Linked DNA regions of Arabidopsis thaliana. The protein of the gene in region 2 purifies or fractionates together with the protein of the main gene of each other region. This does not show direct contact. Each region holds a gene or a part of one and is shown on either strand. Other genes may lie near its edges. The genes, in order: AT3G57890, AT1G03960 and AT2G42230.

Region 1 (6,655 bases), on a different chromosome or scaffold from region 2:
GGTCTGGCTAAGTTCCTGAGGAATAAACTGAGAAAGGTCTCCCATGTACTCATCATCTTCTTCTTTCGCTGCTTCTCCTCCAAGCCCAGTCAGATTTCTCGTCGATTCTGCCATTGCCGACGGAGCTTGCGTTCGCGCTGAGAGGAAGGGAGAACAACAAAAAAAAAAAGAGAATCATTAATGGGCTTTAATTAGGCCCAATAATAATAGTATTTGGCTGTGTTCTCCACTATGTCGTTGCTGCCAATTTTCTTTGTTAGATCACGTTTGACATAAAAAGGACTAAGCTTTATCGGTTGAAGAAATTATCATGGATCCTACAGAAATGAGATACTTGGAAGAGGAAAATGGAGCGATGATGAAGACATTCAAAGATGCTGTGACTGGTTTTGCAACTGGAAAGACGTCCCTCGTATTGAAAGAAACGTTGCTCTTCCAGGACTCATCAGAACGTTGAAGATGATGGGAAGCCACGGGCTGACTTTTGCTGCCATTGGAGGTGTTCATTGGTGTTGAACAGTTGGTGCAGAACTTTAGAGCTAAGAGAGATTTCTTCAATGGAGCACACATTACAATGACTAAAGTAGCAAGAACTCATTATTAGCTGGATCCTGCGCTCATGGATATCTCTGTTCCATCCCATGTCCTTCTGTTTTTGTATCTTGAGATGTTCATGTTATGTTGCATTGTTTGGATGTTTCTACGAATATGAGATTCTGCAAATATGAGAAATTTTGGAGCTCTAAAACTTCTTCAGAAATTTGCACCTACCATGGTAGTAGCCTAACTCTTGCGTCCACTTAAATCTATTTGACCAAGACAAGACTATCTATCAAAACAGTTTTGCTTACAAGTTATAACTTATAACAATTCAAGTCATCATGCTCTATTTGAAGATGAGATTTTCAATAGAGAAGGGAACAAAAACGATGGATTGAAATGTCAAGGAAAGAAAAGCAGAAATCAAGAAAACAATAATCTAAACGAAAGCTTTAAGAGAGTATTTCTGTGCAGATAAGTTACGTTGTGAAGTATTGGTTCCAAACTACAAATCACTGAATCAGGCTGATTTCTCTTTTTTCTTTTTTCTTTTGGTCTTGGGGTGGGGTTTCTTCACTAGCAATATGCCAAATATGATCGAAGGAGCTCTACATGAACAAGACACTTTCCGCTTGGTCTATTATTCTTATTAGTCACCTTGTAGGCAGTAGAGTTGCCTTATATTTCCAGATGCTGTCGCAACAAAAACATAGACTAAGTCAAAACCTAATGAATGATGCATATCAATAAAGTAAAGTAGGGATCGATTCAGAGAAAGTTTTCTTACCGTAAAGCCAGTCTTTGAAATAAACATGGAGTGCACTTGATAGCTCTCGTTTCCGGTTTTCTTCTAGAGGCGCCTCTTTTAACGATCGTCTTGTTTCTTCAAAGTTCTTAAGCTGATGACAAAAAAAATTGCAGATACAAGATCAGATATGGACAAAAATAACAAATGCATTTGTTTATCTGGTTAAGTATAACTTTAAAACATACGTTTCTCTGCTGAGCTGCCATATAAGCATCTGGCAATGGAAATGGATTGTCTTTCGTCGAACCAAGCTCCGCGCCGCTAAACCAGTTTGGGATCTGTGCCATTGTCATTGATACCACCGAAAAACACGTCATTAGATGCTTCATGACACTGAAAAGCATTCACCAATTATTGACGTAAATGTTAGACCCAAATAGAAAATGTACCAAAAAGTTTACGAACTGGTCAGGGTCTACAGAAGCAGCTGATTCAGCCTGTGCATCAGCAACACCGGCAGGATGTGACAGGGAGTCATGTGGATCCACAGCTCCCAGGGCCAATGGTTTGTCCCATTTGTTGATCGTTGGCTCAAGCCCTACCTCCCTCATGTGCTCTTCCAAATGAGAGTAAAATGTATTATATGGAGCGACCTGAAACAAAGTCAAATTGATGCCAGCACTTTAAAAATAGAAGCCCATAATCACTAGAAGCAATATCTGACAATGCCCGCACTCTTAAAAACCAGTAAAACCTTCTTGAGGAAAACATTTGACTAAACGTATCTAGCAGCAGTCTAGCCACCCCTCCAAGTTTGTTTCCACTAGACTTGATGACGTGTCCGAAACGGCTTATTAACCAAACTAACCAAACTAAATCTAGTAAAAAGTCTAGCCACTCAATTTTTTTTACCTTAATATCAGAAAGGTAAATAAGAGCAACATGACATAAAACTTGTAAATTAAACCACAATCTTAAAGAGAAGCTTCACCTGCAGTTTGTGGTTATCACCAACAATAAGTGGCCGCTGATTGACTCCCAAGAAGAATACACATTCACGACAATTGGCAATGCACACTCGTTTGGCAGCTACAATCACATGAACTCTTTCACAGTGCTCAACTTTTATTGCCTGCAGAAATAAATACGGAATTATGTTTGATACATCTTTTAATAAAAGTTGGCAGATATTATAACTTGTTAAATGTTGCTTTGACTATCTTCAGAAAAGATAAAGAAGGAAGAAGCATTGTTTCCATACCTTGCCAACAGCTCCCAAAACTATAGTAGTATCAGAACATCCGTGCACAGTTGCATATCGCAATGGTGCTAAAAGATAAATTACAGAATCATGGCAATTGACAACCTGAAAAATACACAAAACAAGGAGTTGACATGCTTGCACAGAGATTCCATGACTGGAAGAAAAACGGAACAAGGAACAGTCAGACCTTCACAGATCTACCCCTTAGATCGGAGGCTTGCTTAACAAGTGAAGTCTTGGAGACTCCCTCGATTAAACACGGGCCTCTAGTACTAGGTGCAACCTTGTTCGGAGCAGCACAAACATCTGACATCGCATCATCTTGATCGTTAGAAGGTCCGTTCTCTTTTCCAGAAATTCTCTCAGTAATGCTTTCTAAAGCGGAAGCTATGTTTTGCAGAAGCCAGTCATGCACTTGGGAAGCGGGGACTGGAACAGCGGGCATATCCGGATCAGAATTTGCAAAAAAAGGAGTAGCTTGGCTCAATGGAGATACATCAGATCCCTTATCACCAAACTGAACAAGAAAACGCAGATGCTCGAACGCCTCCATAGAGAAAACCTGAACGATATTGGACAAGAAAAAAAAAATTAACTTGTGTTCTCTTTCATTTCCTAAAAAATTCTTATTCCAACATCAGAATTTTATATTCTTGTAGCTTAGAACAGTGACACCCCCTGAGAATATAAGAAAGATTAGAACTTACCAATGATTCATCTCCTTCTCCCTCCACAGGCTCTGCAAGGAGAGAAATGATGTTTGCTAAATGTTTTTGCAGATATGACAACTGATGAGCTTCATCATCTGCCTGTGATGGCATAAATCGACGGCTGTTGCTGCGAACAAGCTGCAGAAATGATGAAAAGGAGATATAAATAACAATTTTAGCTCCAATAAAGTTGGTTCGACCCATGTGATGAGAAACGATAGAATACCAAAGAACAGTGACTGTAGAAAACACTGAAAAGCTTAAGATTATATGACTGTTTTCTAAAAGACTCAATAGAACATCCATACCACACAGGAAACAGAATATTACAGGACTGGAGACCCGAGTCAAAATTCAAGAACACACCAAGCATTATCACCAAATAAACCACGTGAAAGGACCAAACAAAATAAGGTACAACGGAAAAAGAATCAGATTCCGAACCACAAAACAAAGCAAGCTGGCGACTGTTTGACTTTAGTTAGTAAACTAACCAATTACCATTGCCCCAGAGTCATCAGAGAAAGGGGACTGGCAATTAAATACAAGTAAGCATCTTCCTCATTGAGAATTGTTACGAAACTATAGCCACCATCAATTCAATTAATCACCCAAATTTCCGACATTGCTTAACTCTAAGTTTCAGGTAAATCAAATGACTCAGAAAACTTAAACTTGCATTGCAAATTTTAGTTAAATACAATGCGAAATGGAAATAAGTTATTCTCTACCACGTTCCAATTCCATACTCGAGTACAACAGTTCCATTTCAATACCAAACAAATCGCAGGCGCTGGGATTGAGGCACATTATAATAAGAGGGCCAAAAAAAGTAAGAAACTTGCCTGAATTGGCGATAACGCAGACAAGTATCCATCAAAAGCTGAAGTCGATGGCCAAACATCAGCCACCGCTGCGGAGTCCTTATGCGTCCTAGGAAGCAACTTCTTATACGATTGAATGTACAGGAACAAAATAAGATCCCGCAAATCAGCTCCGACGGAATCAACTTCCTCAGGTTTCGCCCGAACCAGAGGGTCAGACTCGGAATGAAGCACCGAACCGAGAGTCTCGAGAACGAGACGCGCATGGTCGCCGGAGATCTGGAGAACGTCGGCGATTGCAGCCGATCCAACGCGGTTATTCGAAGCCGCATCGGCTAGCTTCTGCTTGACAGGGGCTAAGGTTTGGATCGGGTCGGTGAAAACGAGTTTCTGGATCGGGAGGAGTCCGTGCTCGAAAGACACACGCCTTGGATGGATTACTGAATTCGGATTCGTGCTCGAGTTTGGTTCAGGGTCGGGTGCTGAAGGTGGTGGTGATTGGTCGATGAGGTCTTGTTCTTCAGTCATGATTGATTCGTCGCGCGAGGTAGAGAGACAGAAGAGATAGAGAGAGACTGGTCCGGTGGTGAAGTTGCAGATCTTTCTTTGGGTGACGAATCATTTCATTGAAGGAGAAGAGCAGAGAGAGAGATGGTTACAGTGCGTGCACGTGTATGTTAGTAACGTACGCTTCGTTTCTTTGGTCGTTGGATTTACGAGTAGATTAACCTTTGATCTGAGCTATGACACGTCAGATGAACGGAGATAACATGTTAACTAAAGAGGCCCATTTGAGAATTGAATGCAAATCGCATTTAAGTTTTAGTTAGGCCATTGTTGCAATAAGTTAGGTCCTAAGCGTTCGTCAAAAGGAGAAAAGGTGATCATCACAACTCATAATTAGGTTTTACAATAGGGAAATATACTTGGTTACCTAAGTACTTGTAAGTTGTCACTGTTAATTAAAATTGTTAGAAGATTAGTGGGAAAAAGAGAGATAAAATTGGGAAGTTTAGGCCAAAAGAACTCATAACTCGCTTTCATTGCAATTTAAATATTGTCCGCTTGTTTAAGGAAAATGGTTTGCAATGGGTAAACATCGTTTAAATGAGACGGTTATGTTTTTTAGCAGTTACAGAAAAAGGCGGGTAGAAAAAAACGGTTAGAAAAGATGAACAACCTAAAATTAAACCAATTGGTAATATCGTTTAAATAAGGCGGTTATTTTATTTAACACTTACAAAAAAGACTGATAAAAAAAAACGGTTAGAAAATATATTAAAAGAAAAAATGATAAATAATTTAAAATGAACCGTTAAATAATAGTTATGATTAGTAACAAACGGTTAAACAGTAAAAAAAAAAAACTAAATTAAAATATTTAATAAATAACTAAAAATATTTAAAAAACAAAGAAAAACAAAACTCTTTAGTAAATAATTCAAATACATTACAGTTTTAAAAATCTAAGAAACGTTAAATAACTAAAATATTCCAATGGTGAACAAGAGAGGTTGCAAACTCACCTATTTTGTTTAAGCTTTTAACCGTTTGTTTCAATCACCTATTCTTACCACTCGTTTCATCCGTCTATTGCAAGCAATTATTTGATTGGTAATCAAACTAACGGTTGAATTTATCGCCGTTAAATAAATGTTATCAAGCTACTATTGGAATTCGGAAAGGGAACACTATCAACTTTTGGATTCTTAGGTTATCTCATTCATTCAGCTAGCTCAATATTCTGATTTGATTTGATTTGATCCGTTTCGATTCGGTATTTGATTTAATTTGATTCGAAAAATCCGAATATTCGTAAGATTTTGGAGCAAAGCAAATAGAAAAATATAGTATTCGTAAAAATCGAATCAAATAATAAATATTGTTTTTTAAAAAATCGAATATCCGCTTCGATCCGTATCTTTTTATATATATTAGAAAATATAGTATATCTATATATAGATATCATAAATAGTTTGTGTATTGTTGTCATTTTATGTTTTTATGTTAAGATGTTTGTTTGATCATTTTTTTTTATGTTATGTTTTGATCAATGGCATCAAAAAACTATCGGGTTTTAGTTTTGGAATTAGTTTGATAATATTTTGTTGACCGGTGATACCAACAACGGTTATGTTTGGTATTTAGAACTTATTTTAAAAGCACACGGAGACACCAATTAAGGAACGCACGGATAAATTTTTTGAATATATGATATAGTTATATAGTATACATATTTTTTTAATATTTAAATGTATCAAAGCGGATATCCGCAAATATCACAAAAAATTCCGGATATTCGAAATTCCGGATATCTGGAAATTTTCGAAGTAAAGCGAATCACAAAATCAAGTATTCGTTTAAAACGAATCGAATAACAAATATCATAATTTTTCCGGATATCCGCTTCGTGCCCATACCTAATTCTGAGTATAAAATTTAATATTTTTTCTTTATGTAAATACACAAAAAGTGACCATGAACCGTACAGTTTAAAATAGTCATTTTTCGACGAAACAATTACCGTGACGTTGTCTTTAAACCTCTGGAGAAAAGATTTACATATTTT
Region 2 (7,295 bases):
TGAAAGAACTTACAGTCATGTCCATTTGTGCAGACTGCTTTTGAAATTCTCTCATAACCTTAGCCTGTTTTGCTGGATCCATATTCTGGAAAACCCACAGAAACAACAAGATCTTAACAAAAGAGCCCCTCAAAATTCCTACTGGATTTAAGTTATTTCTACTAATTTAACTTGATGAATCCAATCAAATAATTAAACATGGACAAATCAGATTTGTGTTACATAGGGAATCTGACCTTGCTCATAGCTGCCATTGCCTTAGTGGCACCTTGCATTCCAGCAGCAACTGAAGTGTGTGCATGCATAGCCTAAACACCAAAGAGAAAGCTTCCAATACTCAATCTTCTTGGTTTATAAACAGAAATACTTTAGAATGAAAGGATAGAAGTTGTTTAAATTAAGAAACCTGTGTATGAGTAGCAATGCCTCGCATTTGAGCTCGGCTACCTTGTAAGTTAGCTATTTGCTGCCTTAGACGGATCAATTGCCGAGCAAGAATCTTAGTCGCTCCCTGCATAAAAACAAAAGATGTAGTGTACATAAACTAGATGCTATTACTGATAAGGAATGCTTGAAATACCTCATTGCCTGATTTAGCAGTTCTTTTGATCTCGAGAACGAGCTTTTTTTCCTATCAAACATGAAAGAAAACGTTTTTTAGATATGTCCCTTTTAAAAAGATGGATGAAAACGTTACTAACTGAGCCACACTCATACTTCTGATTGCAGAGATCCGATTTCCTTTTCGATTCCTGAAGCCAAAACACGAAAAGGTGGAAAATTTCATCAGTTTGAGAGGAATTTAGGTATATGGCGATAAATACTTGAGTAATATCTAGTTAAAGCCATGGAACATAGTAGCTTATCAATCAAGCAATCAAAAACAATGAATTAACCTTTTTCTAGATTCAATAATCCAAGCATATGAACAAAGAATACCTCTGGTAGCTTGTGTCATCTCTCTCTTACTCTCCCGAAGCACTTCTGCAATTGCCAAAAAAAAAAACGAAACATTCAGATTCTGACAGTCCGATTTCAATAGACATTAAGATTCTCGAATTCAGACGAAACCAAGCCAGATTCCAAAAGAAACATGATCACGAACGCGCCACAAAATTACAGAAGAAGTCAACCGGAAGAAACCCAGATGATCAAAATTCCATTTAGGTTGATCAATCGGAGAAAAAAAAAACCTAATTGAGAAAACAAAATCCATAATGATACAAAAGAAAAATCCGGTGGAATTAAACCTCTGGGATTAGGTTTCTTAGTGAAGATGTTCATGTTTCTTCTCCTTGCTTGTTTTGTTTTTCTCTGTGAAATTGAAGATGGTCTCAAAGCTTTTAGAACACGGAGACTCTGTACCACAGAGGTAGTTAGAGAGAGAGAGATTTAGCTTCAAACGTGATCGCAGCAAATTTTTGAAGGTTTTAATTTTCTCATCGATTACGTAAATATTCTTATTTATATTTGATTATTAGTTTTTTTACTGTGATTATTAAATTCCACAAATACGAGAATTTATAGCTAAAACGTTATACATAATGTAATTAAATCGTTTTTTTTACACGACTACTACTAACCTAAGTATTTTCTATTTAGAATAAATAAATAAATATATGATACAATATTATATTTTTGTTTTGATTAAATTAATCTAAAAACAAAATTAATTTTAATCCTTGGCAAAAGGAGATAGGGGGGTCAAACAGAAAGAAGTGAAAAAAAAAAGAAAAAGAAACGGCCGGTGAGTAATAAATATCTCTCGAGGTCCTCCTCCTCCTTTCCTTTGATAACTTTCCGGCAAAATCTCAGAACCTCCCCATTTTTCTTTGCCGATTATTGATCGGAATTGCTTTGTTCGCTCATCTGCCAACTTCCTTCCTACTCGGTGTAGGAATCTTACGTGTCCAATCATCTGTCTATTTTTGGAAACAAATCCTCAGTGATTTTGTACTTTACTTATATCAAATTCGATAACTAGGGTTTATCGAATCGGATTGTTGTTTCTCCAATTATAATAATTCAAGTTGGTTCACACAGTAGCGTCGACTTTTCATAGCCGCTGTTGTCGAATTTTGAATTTCTCGATTTTCCCGGCGCTTTTGTTACGATTCAAGGAGTTTGAACAAGTAGGGCTTCTCGTTGCGGAGATCATGGATATTGACGGAGTAGACGACGATCTTCATATTTTAGATCCTGAGCTCTTGCAGCTCCCCGGTTTGTCTCCTTCTCCCCTCAAACCAACCTCTCTTATTGCTGATGACCTCTTCTCTCAGTGGCTCTCACTCCCTGAAACTGCCACATTGGTAGCCACCTTCTTATTTCTACACTTCCTTCCTTGGCCTCTCTTTTACACAAGTGTGTTCCATGACCTTGGTTTCCCATTTTTCATGTTTCTGTAGGTCAAGTCTTTGATTGATGATGCTAAATCTGGAACACCAACTAATAAATCCAAGAATTTGCCTTCTGTGTTTCTGAGCAGCAGCACTCCCCCACTATCTCCACGAAGCTCCTCTGGTTCCCCTCGTTTCTCCAGGCAAAGGACTAGCCCTCCTTCTCTCCACTCTCCTCTTAGATCACTCAAGGAGCCAAAGCGCCAACTCATTCCTCAGGTTTGTTCTCATTTCCTGCCTCTGGACCTGTGATTTTGGTCTAGTATCTATGTTCACTGGATTGGTCGTTGAAACAGATAGCTTTCGTTAGTAGATGCAGGGTACAATTTAAACCGAGGCTACTAATTTGTAGGTAAACTTGATTTGAACGAAAAATGGTCCTTCACTGTGACATGATAATAAGTTTCGCTCACAACTGTTCATATGTTTATAATTTCTGCAGTTCTACTACCAACACGGGCGTCCACCAGCAAAAGAACTAAAGGAGCAATGTCTATCCATGGTTGATCAAGTTTTTAGTAACTATATTGATGGACTACATGTAGATGGTGATGTTTTTGTTCTATTTTTGTCCTTCTAAGGAATATATAAGGCAGTTCATTTTACCATTCTCGTTCCTCTTGCAGAATTCAAATCCATTACGAAACAAGTCTGCAAGCTGCCTTCTTTTCTTTCTCCTGCACTTTTCAGAAAGATCGATCCCAATTGCACTGATATAGTTACAAGGTAGCTCCATATATGACTCATTTATTCTTTTATAAAATGTTTTTTAAAAGTAGTATGAGAACTTTGGGTGCTTGCTCTATTTTCTTATAAAGCTTTGTTGGGTAATTGGTGCGGTACTAATGTTTGCTGATTGACCAATTGTCCTCAGGGATGCATTTATCAAGTATTGGATTGATGGCAATATGTTAACTATGGACACAGCCTCCCAGATATATAATATACTAAGGCAGCAGGGCTGCAGCTATCTCAGACAGGTCTTTTTGTGATTCTTCTCCCGCTTTTCTCCAACCGCGTTCTGATTTATTTTCCAACAATTGTCTTCCTTTTCTTAACCCATTGTGCCATACATTTTGATCATTTCTTGGATTTGGCTACAGGCAGACTTCAAACCAGTTCTTGATGAGCTTCTGGCAACACATCCTGGATTAGAATTTTTGAGGACGATAAGCGAGTTTCAAGAAAGATATGGTAGGAACCATTGATTTGTGACTTACTGATTGTCATGGTGTTAAAAATGATGAAACCTACTCAATAAGACGTTCTTTCTGTGCATACATCTTTATATCTCTACTAGATATGTACTTATGTTAGATTCATACTTGTACTAATTTTAATCCTTTGTTGATTACCCAGCTGAAACGGTCATCTACAGAATATTTTACTACATTAACAGATCCGGAACTGGCTGCCTTACTCTTAGAGAGCTGAGACGTGGAAATTTAATTGCTGCTATGCAACAACTTGATGAAGAGGACGACATTAATAAAATTATTAGGTGAGTTTATTTTTTCTTTTCATAATTTCCTAACAATAAGTATTTGAAATTCAAACATATTCTGTTGTTATATAAGGAGTAAACAAGCTTACGAAAATATATTAAAGTTCGAGGGTTTATCACATATGTAACATTAAACAGTTCAAAATGGAAGAGCTATATGAGTATTGGCTTATACCTTCATATTGCTTCTGTAACAGAACTTATGCCTGATTTTACCATTTGCAATCATGTCGTTTCTTTTAATTTTCAGGTACTTCTCCTATGAGCACTTCTACGTGATATACTGCAAATTTTGGGAACTTGATGGTGACCATGATTGTTTTATTGATAAGGACAATCTCATCAAATATGGTAATAATGCCCTTACCTACAGGATTGTTGATAGAATATTTTCACAGGTTGGTTCCCAAAATTGTTCCTGCCTAGACCTTCTTAAAAGCTAAGTTATATAGTATGATGTGATCCTTTTTATTTGATCTCCATGCGTCTTGTGGCTATGTTTCTCTTTTAGATTCCAAGGAAGTTTACGAGTAAAGTTGAAGGGAAGATGAGTTATGAAGATTTTGTGTACTTCATTCTCGCTGAGGAAGACAAGTCTTCCGAGCCTAGTCTTGAGTATTGGTACACATCTCCCCCTCCGTGTTGATATTGGTTTTCCTTAATGAATGTTGCCCCTTGGTTTAGATCACAAGATCTTGATATATATACTACAACGGAGTCAAAACCAGTGACTTGAGGACTTGTTACTTGTAACAAGTCCTCTTCCTCAGATATATTTAGTAATCATTGTATGGTACCATTTTTTCATGAACATAGGATCCTTGTTTATACTCGGGCACTAACAATCTAACAATCTGATACTAGTTTATAGCCTAGTATGCTCATCTATCTATTATGGATGTCAAAACTCAATATTTTTGCAAGTCCGTGTATTTTACTTGACACTGATTGAAATTTTCCGTGCAGGTTCAAATGCGTAGACTTGGATGGAAATGGGGTAATCACTTCAAACGAAATGCAGTTTTTCTTCGAAGAGCAGCTGCATCGCATGGAATGCATAACCCAGGAAGCTGTTCTTTTCAGTGATATCCTATGTCAAATAATTGACATGATTGGACCCGAGGTTAGTTACTTTACAAACCAGAACATGGTTGTTTGATTTTTCCGAGCTTTTTTGTTATTTATCATTTATTTGACTGGAATCATCTATATGGTGGATGTCCTTGCAGAAGGAGAACTGTATCACCCTCCAGGATCTGAAAGGATCGAAACTTTCAGCAAACGTTTTCAATATACTCTTCAACCTTAATAAGTTCATGGCATTTGAAACACGTGACCCATTTCTCATTCGCCAGGTAAGTTTGGCTTACCAGTGGAGTTTTTATAGCACTCAAGAGGGAAAAAAATAACAAAGAATATGACTTCTTTTAACTGCTAAAGGCAGTTTGTAGTAGTTCGGATTGAGGCAATTAGAACAAGTATAATTCTCTTTCATTGCTGTAGGAACGGGAAGATCCAAATTTGACAGAGTGGGATCGATTTGCTCAGAGAGAGTATGCGAGATTGTCAATGGAGGAAGATGTAGATGAAGTCTCAAATGGGAGTGCAGATGTCTGGGATGAACCACTCGAACCTCCATTTTAGTCCATAGTGGTAAGTTCACACTGCTTGTGTATAGGAAATGCAAATGCTTATAAAATTCTGTGATTTATTGAGTCGAAAGCCGATCTTGACTACAGAAACCAACCAAATAAGGAGACTTATGATTTGAGGTTTTCCCTGGAGAGAGATCCATGATCAGAGATTGGAGGTCACTGTTGGTTGTTACCAGACGCTTTCATCATCATTTCCAAAAGAGTCTCAGCCAAATTCATGAAATTTTTGCAATTTTGTTTTGGTTTCATTATAAAGATTATATCAAGTTGGGCCCTCTCTCCCTCTACATCATCTAGTGTCCATATAACCAGTTGGATTGTCCAACTCAGAATGTACTCATAAATCTGAATTGTTAAACTCTTTTAGTCTTTACTGTCACACGAATATATTTTCAGAAAGAAATCTGAATTGTAAATCTCTTTAGTTGCACTGATATCTTTTTCATAAAAAAAAAAAGAGAAAGAAATCTGAATAGTAAATCTTTTTTCTTAATTAAAAAGAAAAGAAAAAACATCTCCTTATAGTATAGTTGATAGAAGGTGCAAGTCACGCGTTTAATGTGCGCGTGATTAGTTAATTAAACTTGTATATAGAGAGTAAGCGCGTGGTTACATTGCAAAACACTAGAGATAACCCTAGAAAGATCTCTCTCGATCTCTGGTTCGAAGAAAATCCACCATTTCCGATTGTTCTTTCTCTTTGACAAAACCCAGATAGATAAAAATTCGTTCCAATTCCAGTGAGCTCCGGAAATGGCGTCCTTCAAGTTGATGTCTTCTTCCAATTCCGACTTGTCTCGCCGTAATTCTTCTTCTGCTTCATCTTCCCCTTCTATAAGATCATCGCACCATCTCCGACCAAATCCTCACGCCGATCACTCCAGAATCAGTTTCGCTTACGGCGGAGGAGTCAACGATTACACTTTCGCGTCTGATTCAAAGCCCTTCGAGATGGCGATTGATGTTGATCGGAGTATCGGAGATCGGAACAGCGTTAACAACGGAAAGAGTGTTGACGATGTTTGGAAAGAGATTGTATCTGGAGAGCAAAAGACGATCATGATGAAGGAAGAAGAACCAGAAGATATAATGACACTTGAGGATTTCTTAGCGAAAGCAGAAATGGACGAGGGAGCTTCAGATGAAATCGATGTGAAGATTCCAACGGAGAGACTCAACAACGACGGTAGCTATACATTTGATTTTCCGATGCAGCGACACAGTTCGTTCCAGATGGTTGAAGGATCAATGGGTGGAGGAGTAACGAGAGGAAAGAGAGGGAGAGTGATGATGGAGGCAATGGATAAAGCTGCAGCTCAGAGACAGAAGAGGATGATCAAGAACCGTGAATCCGCTGCTAGGTCTCGAGAGAGGAAACAGGCTTATCAGGTTGAGTTAGAGACTTTGGCTGCCAAGTTAGAGGAGGAGAATGAGCAGCTTTTGAAGGAGATTGAAGAGAGCACTAAAGAGAGATACAAGAAGCTCATGGAGGTTCTGATTCCGGTCGATGAGAAACCAAGGCCACCGTCGAGGCCCTTAAGCAGGAGCCATTCCTTGGAATGGTGAAGTGTGGTAAAAAAAACTTTTGTATGTAAAAAAAATAAAAACATATGGGCTTGATTACTATATTATAATCTATATAGTAAAGTGATGGTGATATGGTTAGTACTTAGTTACCTGTAATGTATCTAAGGGATGTAATGGATAATACATAGCTTTTTGCTGATTTATAAGATATCT
Region 3 (6,040 bases), on a different chromosome or scaffold from region 2:
TTCTGAGTGGTTTTGTCTGAACAAAATTGCAGGCACGATCATAAAGAGGACAGTGCACAACAATTTCTCAGGGCTCTTCTTTGGTTTACCTTTCACGAAAGTGAATCCGGAATTTCTTAAATCTGTTAGAAACGAGTTTTCTCAAGACAGCAAACTTTTACTTGTTTGCCAAGAAGGTCTCAGGTTGGTAGAACAAACTCTGGATTTCACTGAGACATGTATCACCAAATGTAGTATGAAGAAAAATTATAAGTTTCTTTGTTCGATTCTTGAAAAGATCTGCAGCTGCAGCTAGTAGATTGGAGGAAGCAGGTTACGAAAACATTGCTTGTGTAACATCAGGGCTACAATCTGTAAAACCAGGTTTGATCCCATTTGGTTTCATCTAAGATCATTTCTTGAGGGGTTTTGGAGATAGTTTGGTTTGAGAAGGATAATGAATCGGATTTACTGTTGTTGCGACTTTAGGGACATTTGAATCCGTCGGTTCCACTGAGTTGCAGAATGCAGGCAAAGCAGGGCTTATCACAATTCAAGGCAAGATCTCAGCAGTCTTAGGGACAGTACTCGTCTGTAAGTTTAATTTACATAGAGCTGAAGAATATAGAGAATGTTGTTTGGTCTTTCCTTTGGTTATGAGTAAGACTTTGTTGAACTTGCAGGTGCTTATTTGTTCATACAGTTCTTCCCGGACCAAGCAGAGAAGCTCTTTCCTCCAACAAGCTAAGACAAGACAAAGAAAACAATTGAGGCAGACATGTTTTCACATTTTCTGCCTGTTTTGAATGTGATGCTTAAGAGAAAATTCAAAATATTTAAAATTCCCAAGTAGTAGTTACTAAAAGATTTATATATATGGTATTGAGAAAAGTTGTTATAACAATTGAAAGAAATCAACAACAAGACAAGATGGCTTAATGTTTTTCAAGGACAAAAACGTGGATATTTAAGACTAATAAATACGATAAAAGCAGAGAGAAACCTACACACAAAAAAACAGAGCTTTAGGAGTTAGAGAGCGTGCTGTGCAGTTAAATTCTGATGTCAAACGTGCTAGCAAATCTCTGAGAAGGAACGGATCAAGAGAACTCTACAGTGACTCTGACATTTTCAATCGCCATTGGTCTTAATCGCCTTGTAGGCAGTAAAGTTGCCGAATATTTCCCGTCGCTGTCACCAAAAGAAAGAGATACATATAGATCATTGGCTGGCCAAAGGAGTAAATGAACTAGAATGGGGATTTTATTTGATTACCGTATAGCCAGTCTTTGAAATACATGTGGAACGCTGTAGTGAGTTCTCGTTTTCGGTTTTCTTCGAGAGGTGTTTCTCTCAAGGATTGTCTTGTTTCCTCTAAGTTCTTAAGCTGCTCAAAACCAAAACACAGTTAAGGGATCAGATGCTGAAGTATGGATGAAAAAGAAACGAGCAATTTTATGCGGAAAGCAAATAAAAAACATACGTTTGTCTGCTGCACTGCCTTATATGCATCTGGCAATGGAAATGGATTGTCTTTCGTGGAACCAATCGCCTCACCCGCAAACCAGTTTGGGATCTGAACCAGAGACATTGATGTGAGAAATTAACCCACGAACACAATCTTAATAACCAATATCACTAGTTACTAGAGGAAAATTAAACTAACAAAAAGGGGAATCTAACCAAAAAGGTAGTGAACTGGTCAGGGTCCACACAAGAAGCCGGTTCAGCTTGTTTATCAGAGGCACCAGTCGGATGTGATAGTGAGTCATGCGGATCAATTGCTCCGAGCGCCAAGGATTCGTTCCATTTGTTGATAGTTGGCTGAATTCCTACCTCGGTTATGTGCTCCTCCAAGTGTGAGTAAAATGTATTATATGGAGCAACCTGGAACAGATAACAGTCACATTGATGCCAACAGTTATAGACAACACATCAGAAGATGTTTCCACTTAACTCAGTTGAAGAAGTGACTTTAACAGCATGCTCAATTTTCCAAACACCAGGAACCATTAATACGATCATGACTATACCAGGATATTAACACAGGAAAGATTTAGCCTAGAGTTAAAAGAAAAACTGTAGTCTATTTATTAATTTCAGCTGAATATCAGGGCGGGAAAGAAGAGTTATGTATGCAGCTCAATCTTAAATAGACATATCACCTGTAGTTTGTGGTTATCACCAACTATAAGAGGTCGCTGATTGACTCCCAAAAAGAACACACATTCACGGCAATTGGCGATGCAAATTCGTTTGGTAGCTACAATCACATGAACTCTCTCACAATGCTCAACTTTTACTGCCTGCAAAGAACATAAAATATTATCACTGCATTCTAACCTGAACCTCGCTAACAAAGACTAAAACAGAAAGGAGTATATTTGCCGTACCTTGCCAGCAGCTCCCAGAACGATAGTAGAATCAGAACACCCATACACAGTTGCATATCTCAATGGCGCTAACAGATAAATAACAGAATCATGGCAATTGGCAACCTGCAGAATACACAAAACATGCAATTGACGTGCATACATGAGTAAACGAAACTAAATGAGGGATTGCTGTTTAAAATGCAAATTAGTTGTTCAATACGGACCTTCACTGATCTACCCTTAAGATCAGAAGCCTGCTTGAAAAGTGAGGTCTTAGAGACTCCCTCAATAATACATGGACCTCTGTCGTTAGATGAAACTTTATTAAGAGCTACACTAGAATCAGCCATTGCAGCATTCTGATCAGAGGCATTAGATGCCCCATTTTCTTTCCCAGAGATTCTGTTAGAAATGCTTTCTAAGGCGGAAGCTATGTCTTTGAGAAGCCAATCATTCACTTGGGAAGCAGGAACGGGGACAGCGGGCATATCAGGATCAGAATTCGCAAAAAAAGGAGTAGCTTGGCTTAAAGAAGGTACATCAAATCCCTTATCACCATAATGAACAAGAAACCCAATGTGCTCCAAACTCTCCATAGACAGGACCTGAGGAGGAGATTCGGACCATCTAGCATGAGATATTCGTTCTTTTCCATTTCCCATAATATTGCATCACAACATAAAATTTTCTATCCATCTGATACAAACATAAAAAAAGTTTAGCACATACCAAAGAATCATCTCCTTGTCCCTCCACAGGCTCTGCAAGGAGAGAAATAATATTTGCAATGTGCTTTTGCAGATACGATAATTGATGAGCTTCTTCATCTGTCGGTGATGGCATAAACCGACGGCTGTTGCTACGAACAAGCTGCAAGATGATGAAAGGAAATTTAACTTAAACTCAACAGCTACAAGGATGTCTCTACCCATATGATAGAAACAGTAATGAGAACAATTATCGGTAAAATATTTCAAATATCAGACAATCCTTTTCATATGTTTCTGAATGATAACGTAATATTATTTAACTTGCATTGCAAAATTATAGTAAAATCCAATGCAAAATGAAATTTTTTAAACCAAATAGATCACAAGATAACGTTTTGAGCCACATTACATGATTAAGAGAATAAAAAAGCTTGCCTGAATTGGAGATAATGCCGACAAGTATCCATCAAAAGCAGAAGTCGAAGGCCAAACATCAGCCACAGAAGCAGAGTCTTTATGCGTCCTAGGCAATAACTTCTTATACGATTGAATGTAGAGAAACAATATCAGATCCCTCAAATCAGCTCCCACGGAATCAACTTCCTCAGGTTTGGCCAAAACCAATGGGTCAGTCTCGCAATGGAGCACCGAAGAGAGAGTTTCGAGAACGAGGCGCGCATGGTCATCGGAGATCGAGAGTGCATCGGAAATGGCAGCAGATCCGACGCGATGATTCGTCGCCAAAGAAGCTAACTTTTGCTTGATCGGAGCTAGAGTTTGAATCGGGTCGGTAAAAACGAGCTTCTGGATCGGAAGAAGGCCGTGCTCGAAAGGAACACGTCTTGGGTGGATTATTAAATTCGAATTTTGAATCGGGTCTGGGTCAGGTGGTGGTGATTGGTCGATGAGCTCTTCCGTCATTATGCTTTAAACCAGAGAACGAGAGAAAAAGAACTGTTATGAATGAAGTTGCAGATCTTTGAACATAGGAACAATTGTCATCAAGAAGAAGAAAAAAAGAGAGAGAGTGTTATGTTACAGTGTGTGCAACCACATGCTATTATCCTACGCCTGGTGATGAACAATGGGTCAAAAAGGCCGATATTTAAATGGGCTTTAAACGGCCCATTAAGTAACGCGATTAGTTTCTTCTCCGTTGTAAACTGCGACTTTCACCGGCCACGAGATTAAGTCGTTGTCAATGGATGATTTGGAAGCTTACTATTCTCACTATAATTTACCGGCGATGGTTCCTCCTCCGCCGCCGGGAGTTTCTCCGATTCCAATTACTTCAGCTCATTCCGTCTATTTGCCTACCCATGTCTCAATTGGAGCTCGCGATGAGGTTAGGACGCTTTTCGTCGCCGGACTTCCTGAAGATGTCAAGCCTCGGGAGATCTACAATCTCTTTCGTGAGTTCCCAGGATATGAGACTTCGCATCTCCGGAGCTCAGATGGAGCTAAGGTAATCATTTTCTATCTCTCCGGATTTGTGATTTGGGTAATGATGTTTCCCGGCGAAGAGACTGAGAATCTTACTTTATTTGTTTGGTAGCCCTTCGCATTTGCTGTGTTCTCGGATCTGCAATCAGCTGTAGCGGTGATGCATGCTCTCAATGTGAGTACAAATTTCTTCAAACTTGCTCTTGCAATGTGTCGCCGATGTATCTACTTACAAAGCATTAAGTAAATTTGGTATCTTTATGGTTGTTCTTAATTCAATCTAGTAAATTGAAATCATTCGGTTGGGATTTGTATGCGTAAGTGAATAAGCTTTGTCATTTGCCTAGATTAAGAAACTTTCTGAATTTTATTTCTGAACCTTTCAGGGAATGGTGTTTGATCTTGAAAAGCATTCTACTCTTCACATTGACCTTGCCAAATCAAATCCCAAATCTAAGCGTTCAAGAACAGGCAAGTAGTAGGATTCTTTCGGTTCGGTAGCTCAATAAAAATTTGACCTTTGCTATTGTTGTGTTAATTTTTATTTTGTGATTTTTGTGATATGGTAGATGATGGTTGGGAAAGCTTGAAAAAACTCAAGTCTTGGAACACTACTACTGAATCTGGTAAGATCATTGGCACACACCTTCATCTTGAGGCTTCTTGTAACCTTCTGTATTTTATGTTTCTTGTAACTGAATGTTTGTGTAGTATATATATTTTCAAACTTCCAATCTTCATGACCATCACGCTCATGCATGCTAGCTCTTTTTGGTTTAAGATTTCACACTTGGGCTTTAAGTGCCGTCAACATGGTTTCACGTTTCTGAAAACTCACACTGCACATTCTTGCACGTTTGGGCACTAGCAGGTTTTGGCAGCTTTCAAACTCCTGGAATGAGTAGTTCTGCTTACAACACAATTGGTTATTCACCTGCACAAAGGTCATCTGCACTACTTGAGCACATTTCTAGTTCCTTGTGAATGCTTAGATTCTGTTTCTTTGTTGCACACTCTTTTCTTGTACCTCTGCCTTGAAAATCTGACCTACTTAAGGATTAGCTGAACTAGTCCTAGCTCACATGTCTAGATACTGGTTACGAGAGTGCTTGTTCTTTCTTAGCTATTAGCTCACGAAACTCAGGGTCTCATTAAATTCTTTTTGCTCGTTCAGTCAAGGAATTGCTAATGTTGCTGGGAGGGCACCGACTTCTAGAAAACCTGTAAGCTTCTGCCTATTTTATACTTCATATGAGTATTGTTTTCTGTCTGGACGAAAAACAGTGAGGTAAACTATTCTTACCAGTGAACATGACAATCTTTGTTCCTTTGACAGAGTAAGGCGGCAGATCCTTGTCCAACACTTTTCATAGCGAATATGGGACCAAATTGCACCGAAGCTGAGCTAATTCAAGTTTTCTCGAGGTAAGAATACTCTATTCTCCACGCAAAACTGTAACCACTAGAGATAGTTTTCACTCTCTTTCCTCTCAGATGCCGTGGATTCTTGAAGCTGAAGATTCAGGGTACATA

Evidence for each region.
Region 1: the proteins of AT1G03960 (region 2) and AT3G57890 fractionate together in Arabidopsis thaliana (co-fractionation; one large-scale study listed by BioGRID). This does not show direct contact.
Region 3: the proteins of AT1G03960 (region 2) and AT2G42230 fractionate together in Arabidopsis thaliana (co-fractionation; one large-scale study listed by BioGRID). This does not show direct contact.

The regions. Positions count from the first base shown.
Region 1 is NC_003074.8:21,436,230-21,442,884, reverse strand, and holds AT3G57890 (Tubulin binding cofactor C domain-containing protein), read right to left. Parts: upstream 4,802-6,655; 5' UTR 4,615-4,801; coding exon 4,108-4,614; intron 3,597-4,107; coding exon 3,489-3,596; intron 3,401-3,488; coding exon 3,260-3,400; intron 3,115-3,259; coding exon 2,740-3,114; intron 2,655-2,739; coding exon 2,550-2,654; intron 2,421-2,549; coding exon 2,280-2,420; intron 1,942-2,279; coding exon 1,738-1,941; intron 1,627-1,737; coding exon 1,534-1,626; intron 1,440-1,533; coding exon 1,328-1,439; intron 1,234-1,327; coding exon 1,190-1,233; 3' UTR 997-1,189; downstream 1-996. Other genes in the region: AT3G57910 (D111/G-patch domain-containing protein), read right to left, coding at 1-114; AT3G57900 (import inner membrane translocase subunit Tim17/Tim22/Tim23 family protein), read left to right, coding at 311-412, 500-604.
Region 2 is NC_003070.9:1,011,929-1,019,223, forward strand, and holds AT1G03960 (Calcium-binding EF hand family protein), read left to right. Parts: upstream 1-1,723; 5' UTR 1,724-2,156; coding exon 2,157-2,309; exon of another isoform or gene 2,310-2,405; coding exon 2,406-2,615; intron 2,616-2,692; exon of another isoform or gene 2,693-2,748; intron 2,749-2,838; coding exon 2,839-2,944; intron 2,945-2,985; exon of another isoform or gene 2,986-3,022; coding exon 3,023-3,122; intron 3,123-3,270; coding exon 3,271-3,376; intron 3,377-3,499; coding exon 3,500-3,590; intron 3,591-3,755; coding exon 3,756-3,897; intron 3,898-4,150; coding exon 4,151-4,298; intron 4,299-4,411; coding exon 4,412-4,521; intron 4,522-4,866; coding exon 4,867-5,023; intron 5,024-5,129; coding exon 5,130-5,255; coding exon of another isoform or gene 5,256-5,309; exon of another isoform or gene 5,310-5,403; coding exon 5,404-5,544; 3' UTR 5,545-5,553; intron 5,554-5,639; 3' UTR 5,640-6,029; downstream 6,030-7,295. Other genes in the region: VPS2.3 (vacuolar protein sorting-associated protein 2.3), read right to left, coding at 14-85, 237-308, 407-511, 581-631, 718-752, 940-984, 1,251-1,284; GBF4 (G-box binding factor 4), read left to right, coding at 6,309-7,121. UniProt on the Arabidopsis thaliana protein: Probable regulatory subunit of type 2A protein phosphatase.
Region 3 is NC_003071.7:17,592,579-17,598,618, forward strand, and holds AT2G42230 (C-CAP/cofactor C-like domain-containing protein), read right to left. Parts: upstream 4,088-6,040; 5' UTR 3,986-4,087; coding exon 3,500-3,985; exon of another isoform or gene 3,320-3,499; intron 3,225-3,319; coding exon 3,084-3,224; intron 2,960-3,083; coding exon 2,579-2,959; intron 2,478-2,578; coding exon 2,373-2,477; intron 2,286-2,372; coding exon 2,145-2,285; intron 2,007-2,144; coding exon of another isoform or gene 2,001-2,006; intron 1,867-2,000; coding exon 1,663-1,866; intron 1,556-1,662; coding exon 1,463-1,555; intron 1,367-1,462; coding exon 1,255-1,366; intron 1,171-1,254; coding exon 1,127-1,170; 3' UTR 833-1,126; downstream 1-832. Other genes in the region: AT2G42220 (Rhodanese/Cell cycle control phosphatase superfamily protein), read left to right, coding at 33-183, 278-363, 469-573, 663-727; AT2G42240 (RNA-binding (RRM/RBD/RNP motifs) family protein), read left to right, coding at 4,266-4,529, 4,620-4,682, 4,894-4,978, 5,077-5,133, 5,379-5,451, 5,682-5,730, 5,844-5,932, 6,002-6,040.